Linked DNA regions of Tribolium castaneum. The protein of the gene in region 1 purifies or fractionates together with the protein of each later gene. This does not show direct contact. Links are inferred from orthologs where the notes say so. Each region holds a gene or a part of one and is shown on either strand. Other genes may lie near its edges.

Evidence for each region. The genes of interacting proteins can lie anywhere in the genome.
Region 2: the proteins of Xpd (region 1) and galla-2 purify together in Homo sapiens (affinity purification with western blotting; 3 studies listed by BioGRID and IntAct, with this or other methods). This does not show direct contact. The link is inferred for Tribolium castaneum from reciprocal best matches to the Homo sapiens genes ERCC2 and CIAO2B.

The regions. Positions count from the first base shown.
Region 1 is NC_087394.1:27,625,297-27,631,270, reverse strand, and holds the start of Xpd (general transcription and DNA repair factor IIH helicase subunit XPD), read right to left. Parts: upstream 4,076-5,974; 5' UTR 3,897-4,075; coding exon 3,892-3,896; intron 3,841-3,891; coding exon 3,741-3,840; intron 3,696-3,740; coding exon 3,441-3,695; intron 3,393-3,440; coding exon 3,159-3,392; intron 3,112-3,158; coding exon 2,891-3,111; intron 2,841-2,890; coding exon 2,707-2,840; intron 1,790-2,706; coding exon 1,260-1,789; intron 1-1,259. Other genes in the region: Tbce (tubulin-specific chaperone E), read right to left, coding at 4,241-4,542, 4,589-4,874, 4,924-5,704, 5,750-5,934. UniProt on the Homo sapiens protein: ATP-dependent 5'-3' DNA helicase. Component of the general transcription and DNA repair factor IIH (TFIIH) core complex, not absolutely essential for minimal transcription in vitro.
Region 2 is NC_087394.1:1,673,917-1,679,899, forward strand, and holds the start of galla-2 (MIP18 family protein galla-2), read right to left. Parts: upstream 3,404-5,983; 5' UTR 3,269-3,403; coding exon 3,251-3,268; intron 1-3,250. Other genes in the region: ltl (insulin-like growth factor-binding protein complex acid labile subunit), read left to right, coding at 3,633-3,946.

The sequences.
Region 1 (5,974 bases):
CTAAAAAGAAATTGATTTGTTCGAGCATTTCTGCCATTATAAAATATCTTAGGTTTTAATAAGATAATAGTTAATAATAATTTATCCGCTCACTGAATATGGTATGGAACCAAGCGTTTTTTGCCAATACTACGAATAAAATAAATTAAAATAAAATAATGGGTACATTATCAAGTTTGTTAATAATGTAATTATTATTTTTGAAGAATAAAATTTTTCGGAATGAATGACGATTTATTGATTAATTTTAAATCAAAAGTATCAAAAGTTTTGAACTTAATAGTAGAAATTTCTAAAGATAAGATCCAATATACTCTTTCACAGTAATACAACTTTCAACTTCCGAATTACAAAAAATTCTGTTACCATTTTCTGAAATACCTACTATTAACTGGTTTAAATCATAAGCAATCTTTTTTGATATCAATGTTTTGATTTCAGGGCTCCAAGGACAACAGAAAGGGTAAGTTTTTACTTTTTTGTAAGTTGTAATGAGTGTTTATGTTACGGACACGTTTGTTCATCTTTTTCCAACTAATCAGACCATATTATATTTAAAAATGGTGAAATATATCGTAGTTGCATTTTTATCAAATTTGCGGAACATCAACTGCATTATTTTGGCACGATTTTTGAACAGGTTCCTAATTAATTAAATGGAACATCCATTTTTTTTTATTTTTCTAAAAACTGTATGTTATGTCTGAAGTTAATAAATCAAAAGATATTTGACTTTAAATGTTAATTCAGTTCTTATTCAATAAATAAATTATAGTAATTTCCACGGATAAATGGTTCAGTTATTTTTCTGTAATAAATGACGAATAATGGCCTAAGCGTTGTTATTAGCTAAAATTTTCATTTTTTCCACTAGTGAATTTTTTTCATGTTTAAAGGTTAATATCGCATCTTTTGAGTAATTAGTTAATTACTAATTACTGTAAGTAAGAGACACCAATCTTTCAATATTTTTATGTGATAAAACTTAAAAGTTTCCTCATTTTTTTAACTCTCCAAAAAATGTTGAAACATACCTACTTTCTTCCTTAAAAATGATTCAATTTTTTTTTTTTTATTATTCTTGGTTTTTGAATAATTACCCCAAAACTTCCTCACAAAGAGTCATGAAAAGCTACGTTCAAAAATGCAAAAAATAAACGGTGTTTATTCCGCACATATACTATAAATTTTGTGCAAATTTATTTAAATAACTTAACATTCAATGGTCAATGATGAACTCCACCAACCTCTGGACTTACCATTGGTAGCAAACAAGGCCTGGCCAACGTCATAGTGAACGAAGACATGATCACAGGATGGAAGTTCAAAATCTTGGGGTACATATCTAGAGGGGATAGGGTTCCAGAGGTTATAACCACGGTTTGAAACCGATCAAAAACCGGTTTTATGGCAATCGACGAATCCAAACAACTGAAATGTAAGATCGGGTTTGACACCGTCGGTGTCTTATCATCAAACGGTTCTACGATTATCGTAAAACCTTTCGTATAAGTGGCCACCAAAGTGGCCAAATGTGTGACTAAAATGACCGGACTGAAGTCGGTCAAGTCTGATATTTCCAAAGTTCTCAACAGAGATGCCAAGCGTTCAGCACAGAAACGTAACGGTTTTCGTTCAATACAGACTTTGGATTGGACGTCTTTTAAAAATCCAGCAGGGCTTTCTTGCACCACGTGCTGGACTCGCAGCCGAGTTTTGAGGTATTCGAGGAAACGTTTCAGGAAACTGACAAAGTGCTCGGCGTTGCGAATATTTCCAGGGACGGCCTCTGAAAATTAATAAATTACGCAATTTAATTTTTTTTCGAATTACTGACATAATAAATAACAATCAGCCCAAAAAATTAATTCGGAAATGGCAATATTTTTGCCTCTGTCTAGCATTTAAGTGCATTTTTGAGCTACAAAATTCTTCTCAAAGCATTACTAAACCAGGCGGACAAATCACAAAATATCATCGAAAATGCGATTATTTTTGCATTTTCCGAGCATTTTGTATGGTTGTTTTAGCCTGAAGTTCAATGATTTCGAATAATGCCCTCAAAAATAAGACAAAAAATAAGCAAATAAGTTTACTTTTGAGAGATTTCAGCAGAAAAAAGATTCTTATTTAATCGAAAATGACATTATTTTTTGCTTTTTTCATGTGTTTTTATTTAGAAACAGTTATTTCGTTGAAGATTGTTTCGTTGAAAAATATTCGACTGAATTAGGTCAACCAAATTTGGCTTTACCGAGTGTTTACCAGGTTTATGAGAAAAAAACAAGGTTTTCCTCCAAAAAAATTCGTTGAAAAAAGGATGAAAATCCAGGAAAATATATCGCAATTGATGCTACCTATTTTATTTATTTATTGTCAGGTCAGGTCAGGTCAGATCTGTTTAGTTTTTTAACTTTGTTAAACATGTTTAAAAATTATACACAAATCGAAAATTATACTATTGAGTTTGTTTCATTCGAATGACCTCGTTTTCGAGTGAAATTTTGCTAAAAATAAGTTAAAAATTATCAAACTTTGAAAACAGTGTTATTTTTTAAATTCTCAAGCTGTTAAGTACAAAGTTTTTTGGCTAAAAATCACTAAATTTCTTCATTTTTGTCAACGCATTAAGCTGTGTCTATATCACTCAGTGTTGCCAACTTAATTTCAACGTCACGGAATATATAAATCTAATTCGGGTATTACCCTGGAGGATGGCGTCGGGCAAGACCGGATTGGCCAAAATGACGTCAGTGTCTCGCGCCACGCTAGCGTCGCGCAGCCCCTCAACTAATCTCTGATATTCTTCTTGCAATTTTTTGTGATCGTCTTCACGCATCCTAAAAAATTTTAAAAAATCCAGAGAAAACTTAAACTTCCGGGGATTTACTCGGCCACAGTACGTTCCAATAACTGGATGTTGGCGGAAGCTCGATCGATAATTCGTTTGTTGATTTTCACACTCATTGAGTCGATGCAAACATTATCGATATTGTGAGCCTCATCGAAAATAACAACTGACTCTCGTGTCAGCTCTTTGGAGACGACTTCGGCGATCTTGGGGTCTAGTAAATAGTGGTAACTGTAGACTACGATATTCGCGTAACTTATCTAGGAAAAAGGGTCAGAAGTGCAATGTAAAGTGTGACCTCAAGTACCACAAAACGAGACAGGAAATAGGGGCACCAGTTGCGGTCCCGTCCGTACTGTTTCAAATCATCTATACTGTAAACCCCAAACGGCATCGTACTTTCTTTGCCATCCAAAGCGAAACCTTCGTAATACTGACAAATGGGAGTTGTATCATCGTAATTGTGCCTCTCCCTTATGTAACTCGCCGTTAGTGCGTGGCATTTTCCGTCCACAATCTTACCCTCGCGCTCAGTACTCACCTGAAATTTGCAAAATCAAGCCCGGTTATGCACCCCCAAATCACCTACTTCCGGGTGAATACATAGATTCTTCCGTGAGGACAAAACCAGCCCCAGGAGATGGGGGTACTCCCCGTCCAACTTCTCATAATACTCGAGCAGTTTTTTCAATTCTTCCATAACTTTCTCGATTTCGGGGACAGTACGAGAGCAGTAGATCAACTTGCGGACGTCATGGGGGTGCTCGAGCATGTATGCAACAACGAGGGAGAGAATGGTGGTGGTCTTACCCGTCCCTGAGGGCATTTCCAAAAGGCAGTGGCCCTAAAATTAACATAAAAAAGGGGCTGTGAAAGGCGGGGAGCGTACTTTGGCGTCCAGGGCCCGCTTGAGCTCGCACATGTAGGCATACTGCTCGGGGTAGATGTAGTCATAGGGGAAGTACACGATTAAGCCATCGACGTTTAGTCTAAAATTTTCGGTTTTGAGGCAACTCAAGTGCCAATAGTCGGGTTCTTACTTCATTTTTTGTATGGTGCTGGGTGAAACCGTGGTGTTTACATTGACCCGGTAGTTTTTTTAGGTTATGGCATGTTTGGAAAAAAGTGCGGTTATGCAATTTTTTGTAATATTTTCTAACAATAGGAACGTTTCTATTGCTGCTAATCGATTAGTAAGGAAGAAGGGGGCCTAAAAATTTAAGTCCTGTGAGCTGGAACCACGTATTCTATCAGTTATTCAAAGATTCTATAATAAGTAGGGTTATGTAATGTATTCAAGTATTCAAGAAGAAAACACCTTTTTATTTGGAAAATATTTATTAAAAACTTTATTGAATAAATTAATGGTTTTGTACAACACAAAATCAATCACACTTTGTCTTTCACGATAATTTTATCACCATTTTGCATTGAGTAAACTCCGATTTCTTTCATTTCATCCTCTAGAAGAATCTCGATTTCTGGATCGCTCTTGCTGGCGTAAATCAAGTGGGGCCTTCCACTCAAGCTGAACATTTTCTGTGTGAGGACTATAAGTTTTTGCACAGTCATTGTGAGAGGCACTTTCTTTTCTACCGTAAAGTCCTCAAAAACTATACTTAATTGGACCAACGTATTTTTAATAATTTTCGGTTTTGAGACAAGTTCACTCTCTTCCAGCTCGCCATATTCTGCAAAAATAACCGTAAAAACGTAACAAAAAAAATATAAACAGACTTTGTATCAATTCCAAATATCTGTTGTGGGTTTTGAGAAAATCAGCCTCTTTGTTGGTACCCTTGGCGTCCAACCATTCAAGACCGTACTTTTTCATGTAGTCGTATTCAGCCCCCCGTCTCTCAGTGGCTTCAATCTCAACCCCATTTAAAATTTTCAAGTTGGCAATTTTTGCGATTATTATTTGATGGATAGTGTCAGGTTCTTCCGATTCTGTGATGGGGTTTTTGGAAAATCGCAGATTTTCTAAACTTTCAAGCCGATTTAACTCAGCCACAGAACGCCACTAAAATCAATCCTCTCATGAACGGAAACGAACAAAGTTTCAGTCTTACCTCACGGATCAAGTTTTTCACAACACATAATTTTTTCATCGCTCTGAAAGCTTGTACTTTGGGGGAATCACCCTCAAACTCAATCAACTGGAGCCCAATATTCTCCAGAATAAGTTGCTCCAAGTGCGGTAAATCCCCCAATTTGCAGACCTCCGTCCAAAACTCAATGTTATTCCCTTCAAGATCGAGCAACTTTAATTTGGTGAAAAACCCCTCAGGTGTGCTAAGCCCCCGGATTTTGTTATTCGGAGCTCTGAACTCTTCAACTGACGGGAAAATGCGTCCAAGTTGGCAAATGTGCCCCCAGTCCAAGTCCATACACCCACAAATCAGAGTTGTCACGTTTGGAAAACTCTCACTAATCGTTGGCAAGTCCAGCAAATTCTCACTAACATTCAGCCAAAAAAGCCTCGGCAACTGGCGGCAAATCTCAAAAACGCTCTCCCAAGACACTAGCAAATTTTTCGAAATGTCCAACTCTTCAATATTCGGACACGTTTCTCCGAGTCGTAGCGGCGGACCCGCCGAATTAATCCCTTGGTCACGCAAATTGACGATTCTCAACGACGTGAAGTCGCTCTGTTTGTGGAAAACCTTGTCAAAGCCGACCATTTCCAAAAAAGGCGCGTTCATGTTTTGTTGGATAAGCAGCTGCTTCTGTTTGTTGATTTTGGCGGTGAATTCATCCTCGAACTGGCCGTAGCGCGACTCAATCGACGCTAGGGCTGATTTCCCGCAATTGACCTTCTCAGGCCTTATGAAGGAACCTGAAGTCGGGTTTCTAAAATTTGGTAAAGTCGGGGTAAAAATGAATGGGGATCAATACCTGGTGGTGAAATATTGCACTCCGTTGACGCGGCCGTCGTGTTTGCCCCGCTGGGGGTTGTCCCAGTCGATCCCGAGCCAAATTGAGGGCTTGCCCTCGATGGGGCCCACGTATTTTACCGTTCCGATGTAACCGCCGCTCTCGACGCGGTCCCCAATTTGGCAAGGAGAGTGCGAATTTGTCATAGCTGTGATGTCTACAAAATTATTTGTGATGATTTTTTTC
Region 2 (5,983 bases), about 26 Mb from region 1:
TTTCGGACGTTCGTGTGTAAAATATGTATATTTAACTCGATTTATGGGTTGATGTTTTTGTATTCCTTGATCCAGAAGCGATGTATTTACACAATTTACAGCACGCTTTACATTTTATGAGCGATAATTTGATCGATTTGTTGTGGAAACACGACACCGATAACAATATTTAGATGGCATAAAGGAGACACAAGTCTGAGGACTGATCTAAATTTTCAATTGATAACTGAAACGTAAACAATGAATGAGGTGGACAAGCTGGGCTTTATCTAGAGTCAACAGGTGCTGACACAAACTCAAAATTCATTTAACAAATATTCAAACTTTTGATTTTTTTAAATGAAAGAATCATTTATTTACTTATAAATAATTAATTAAATTAATTAAACATTATTAAAAAATAAGGTGTTATTTTACTCCCCTTACTTCATTTTTGTGCGAAATTGCATAAAAAATAAAGCAAAAAAATCACAAAATCGGATCGAAATAAATTTAATTTCTACGATTATTTTGCCCGATTCGTTTTTGGATAAGAAATTCATTACACAAAAAGTTAAAACAAATGTGTTTTTAAACTTGTCTTGAGATTTCGCTAGAGATGATAAAAAAAGAGCACATTTAGTCTAGCACTTGTTTTTTTCAATTGTTTTAACGCACATTCCAGTCAGAAACCTTATTATTTCACAAAATACTCTTAAAAAGAAGCCTTAAAGTCATTAAAATAGACCAAAAATGGCAAAATTTTTTCGATTAATTTCGCTTGAAGTGAAATTTATTCAAAAATAATTGTGAGAAACAGAGAAACATTTCGCAAAATTTATTCGAATAAAATTTTTTTTTTAGATTATTTGAACAAAAACTGATTGTTTTGCAAGATTCCCTCACAAAATCCAGAAATGTACAAATTAGGTCAAAAATCTTTACATATTTTTTTATTTTGTATTTTTATTTTTTTAGACAACTTATAATGGAAGATGAGAAGGTGGAATAAGACGCTCCTAGACCTTTTAGTTTCGCCGTAATCAGCGTTTGAAAAGTGAAAAAAATGTCATAATTTTTGCGTTTTTCTCGGAAACTATAATACTAAAAATTGTGAATGTTTTCAGAATTTTTCGACCATTCCTAAATTAAATATTATTAAAATATATTGCTTAATCTAAATTATTGATATAGATGATACGTCGTATGATTTTATTTATGACGGAACTCAGCTTATTTTATTTATTAAACAGCAAAAGTATGTACTTTATATGCTTAGGCAATAATGTCAGGATGACTTGATTAAATAGAAAATGGTTTAACAAATTATGATTTGTTAGTGTTAATTTTTATAATAAAAAATATTCACAATAATGTAATGTTTTCTGATATGACCTAGTCCTAGCTAAATGTGTTGTTTTTTATATTATATTTTTGCACGTTTAGAAAAAAAATATAATAAAAATTCATATTACTATTTAATAATAATTCGGCTCACTACGTTGGGTTTTTTGAATTGATTAATTATCTTTTGGAACTAGTGTCATTTTTTTTATGCACTAAACAACATTCATCGTTCATTGTTCGTTTTAGAATTATAATTTTATGAAGCGAATTAATATTAATCGTAGAAAAATTCTACAAAAATTCACATGTAAAAAAAATAATTAAGTATGAAAAAGAAAAAGAAACAGAAACAGAAACAGAAACAGAAATAGAAATAGAAATAGAAATAGAAATAGAAATAGAAATAGAAATAGAAATAGAAATAGAAATAGAAATAGAAATAGAAATAGAAATAGAAATAGAAATAGAAATAGAAATAGAAATAGAAATAGAAATAGAAATAGAAATAGAAATAGAAATAGAAATAGAAATAGAAATAGAAATAGAAATAGAAATAGAAATAGAAATAGAAATAGAAATAGAAATAGAAATAGAAATAGAAATAGAAATAGAAATAGAAATAGAAATAGAAATAGAAATAGAAATAGAAATAGAAATAGAAATATTTAATTTCAAAGATCTTAATTCTGCGATTAACTGATTATATCGGGTGGGTCAAAAGTCGTGGATAGGCTCTTAAGAGCAGCTAGATGGAGCTATACAGAACACTATTTTCGATAAAAAAATCACAAAACCTTTCATTTGGCTGAAATTAAAAACAAAAAATGGCAACGCCGTACAAGTACACCTATTTTTATACATTTAAAAAAATATTAACCAAAAGTATTACCATGTAACATTACTAAATGTTGCCAAATTAAAAAAAACACCAATAACTTAAAAACAATTTTTCAGAAAATTGGGTTTTAATAATGACAACAATACCTTAAAACTTTGAACTAAACAATATTAAAGTATCAAAAGGTAGCATAATTAATTCGCTATTGTTTATATTTATTTTTGGCCATAAAACTTGGAACATCCTGTACAGGCTACAGGGTGCTCAAAAACTGGCGCACCAACTCAGTGGTACGTTATTGAGAAGCAAGTCCATATTACGGGAAAAATGTTGAAAAAATTCCCAAAGTTATATTTTAAAAAATCTGGAGCTACAAACTTATTGTGTTAACTTCTTTAGTTTTCATTGTTTTTTTATATTTTTATGTTTCATACCAGGTAATCGTTCCGTAACAAAACGATGAATAATTATTTTAAAATTTACTATCAGATTTTAGCAGTTTTTTTAATTTAAAATTCATCCAAAAAATCACAATGTGTAGATGTGCCAACACTGGGAATTATTTCCTAGGAAACCGTTTCAAAAATAATTTATTTTTATTGTTGCTCAAATTCTATTACGATCACGACTGTTGGGCAACGTTGCCACATATCACTTATTTAAAATTCGTTATTTATCAATAACTTTAATACAAATAGTTTTTTTACTATTTTTACCATTATATGTAACCACTTCTCTACCACACACCATTGAGTTGGTGCGCCAGTTTTGGAGCACGCTGTATATACTATATACATGCAGGTAGATTCAAAAAATCTCTCGGATGGTGATAAAGCACAAAGTGACTTTAATTAGTTTAGAAACATCAATATTAAAAGCTACACCCATAAATGCAATTCCATTAAAAAAAAACATACTCGTAAGTTTGAATTGTAGCAAATCTCAAAAACATCTTGTATGCCTACTTGAAAATAATTTTGGATTAATGAAAAAAAATAAATTTTCTTACATTTACATGGGACAGCCTGTGTTGGTAATTTTTTGGTCACCTGTATTTTTCTAAGGAAAATAAAACTTAATACTTACGTTTCCATCAGTCGGCATCGAAAAAATCCTGACACAAAAAAACCCACTTACCACTGAGCACTAGGTAGTGAGCGTTTGCGCGTCCAAGGGTTTGTTGGGTAAGTGTGTGAAGGTAAGGTAAGAAGGGCCTGCGGCTTCGGCGCCAATCTAAATGAGGAAGTGCAGTCGTTCGTCGGGCGCCACGTCCTCCTCGCAATAATAAATCTCGTTCTGGCCGAATGCATCTAATTATCTTGGTGGAGTTGCACACACGTTGTACCCCGGGGACACCGCTAGAGATATGGCGGGCAGTGGCGCCGCGCTCCACTCAAGAAAATTTAGGCGCCACCGTCACTCAGTCACACATTGACCGGCTCAAAGCCAACACCAAGGGCCTCCTCCGATGACAACCGCCTTCACCATGTCGGCCCTGCTGCTCTCCATCCTGGGCCTCTCCGTGGGCATCCCCCACTGCCCCATGTGGAAGGAGATCGCGCCCTGCACCTGCCGCATGGACTCCACCAAGCTCACCACCATCCACTGCGACAAGATGACCTCCTACGACCAGGTGGTGCGCCTCCTCAAGGGCCACTTCGCGCCCGAGGACCGCGTCTCGCTCAAGATCTCCTTCAGCAAGCTGGACGACCTGCCCTTCAGGGCCTTCAACGAGCTCAACATCTCCATCGAGAACCTCAAGCTCAACCACGACGGACTGGGGTAAGGGTGATAAATTGACGTAGTGATGAGGATGACAAATGACAGGCGAAACAAACAGATAACCTCCGACCTTCTCATGTTTCAATTACAGCGTCGCCTGCTCGATTATTATCGCTGGTAAATTCATTTTCCCGGAATTACTCGCTAATGGCACGATATCGTCGCTTTAATGAATGAAATCTCTGACATCGACGCGGTTTTTGGAAGCGCTGCTGATAAAGACATTCGCAAGAAATAACAAACGGTAATTGATTTGATGATTGCTTCTCTGAAGCGACTTTGCGGACTTAAATCGGCACACGTTTTCACTAAATTGACCATAATTGCACTTTTCCTTTTGGATTTACTCGGAATTCGGACGTTTATACAAATTTGGACAACCCTTATTAAGCAATTTGGCACTTAGTCAAGCTTTTTTCATTTATTTTTTCACTTTCCAATATTAAAAAATGGATAATTTTGCTGTTTTAAAGTTTGAAAAGCCCTAGATAAATCTGTTTTCATATATGATTGTGTTGTGTACTATTGACATATTTTTAAATTTTAGACAGCTCTAGTACAGTTGGGTACAATTTGCTACTGACTTTTTGACACTTATTGCGTGTGCATAATTTATTCTGAGCTCATATTTTATTTTTGATATTACTATATTTTTTTAATTTGGACAACCCTAATAAAAAGAATATATTATATAATTTATTTTTGACGTTTGAACTAACAAATCAATGTTATGTTCTTTAAAACATTAATTTGATATTGACAAACCTAACAATAATTTTCTTTTCATTTGAAATATTATAAATTAAAACATACACGTTTTTGATGTTGAAAATGTTCAATATACTTATAATTTGAGATTTTGTTACGAATTTGCTAAACCTTAGTCTTCTCAGAATTTAAAATATTAAATTTAATTAATTTGATATTTTTCAATTTTGGACAGCCTTAAGATAATCTTTTTTTTGGACAACCCTTAAATGTTGTTGATAATTTGTCCCGTTTTTATATTTCTACTGCAAAAAAATGTTTAATTTAAATTTTTTATTTGAAGTCCCTTAAAAAAATTGACGTTTTTTACAATTTTGGACAGCCTTAAGATAATGGAATAATCTTTTTTTGGACAACCCTTAAATATTCTACATAATTATTGTTGATATTTAAACAATTTGTTCCGTTATTATATTTCTACGGCAAAAAATGTTTAACTTAATTTTTTTATTTGAACTCCCTTAAAAAAATTCACATTTTTTTACAATTTTGGACAGCCTTAAGATAATGGAATAATCTTTTTTTTTGGGCAACCTTTAAATATTCTACATAATTATTGTTGATTTTAAACAATTTGTCCCGTTTTTATATTTTCTACGGCAAAAAAATGTTTAACTAAATTTTTTATTTGAACTCCCTTAAAAAATTCACGTTTTTTACAATTTTGGACAGCCTTAAGATAATGGAATAATCTTTTTTTTTGGACAACCCTTAAATATTCTACATAATTATTATTTTTATATATTTACCCCAAAAAATTACATACATTTGAACTTCCTCAAAAAATCTCACTTTTTTGTGATTTTGTAAGTCTTTAATTTAATGTTTTCTTTAACAAATTTCGAGAACCTTGGCAATAATAACTATTTACTGTTACTTTTCTTTTATTTGGAATGTTTTTATAATATCTTTGAAATAACAAATCATAGAAACTTTTTTCGTCTATATATTTATATTAAGTAATAATAAGTATAAATAACATTTTGTAACTAACATTTGTACCTATTTTAAAACCCTAATTTAGCATTAAATTTTAATTAATTTGACATGATTTTACAGCCATAAAATACTCGAACAATTATTTTCTTTATTGGGAGAATCTTAAAACCATCTTACGTAATAACAATTGTCTAACTGTCTATTTCTGCCAAAAAAGATGTTTCAAAAAATATTTGGACTTTATTCAAAAACTCATTTATTAATAATTACTTATCTTTTATGTAACTAATTATTATTTTCTTTGACTAATTTTAGGAAACATTAATTTTA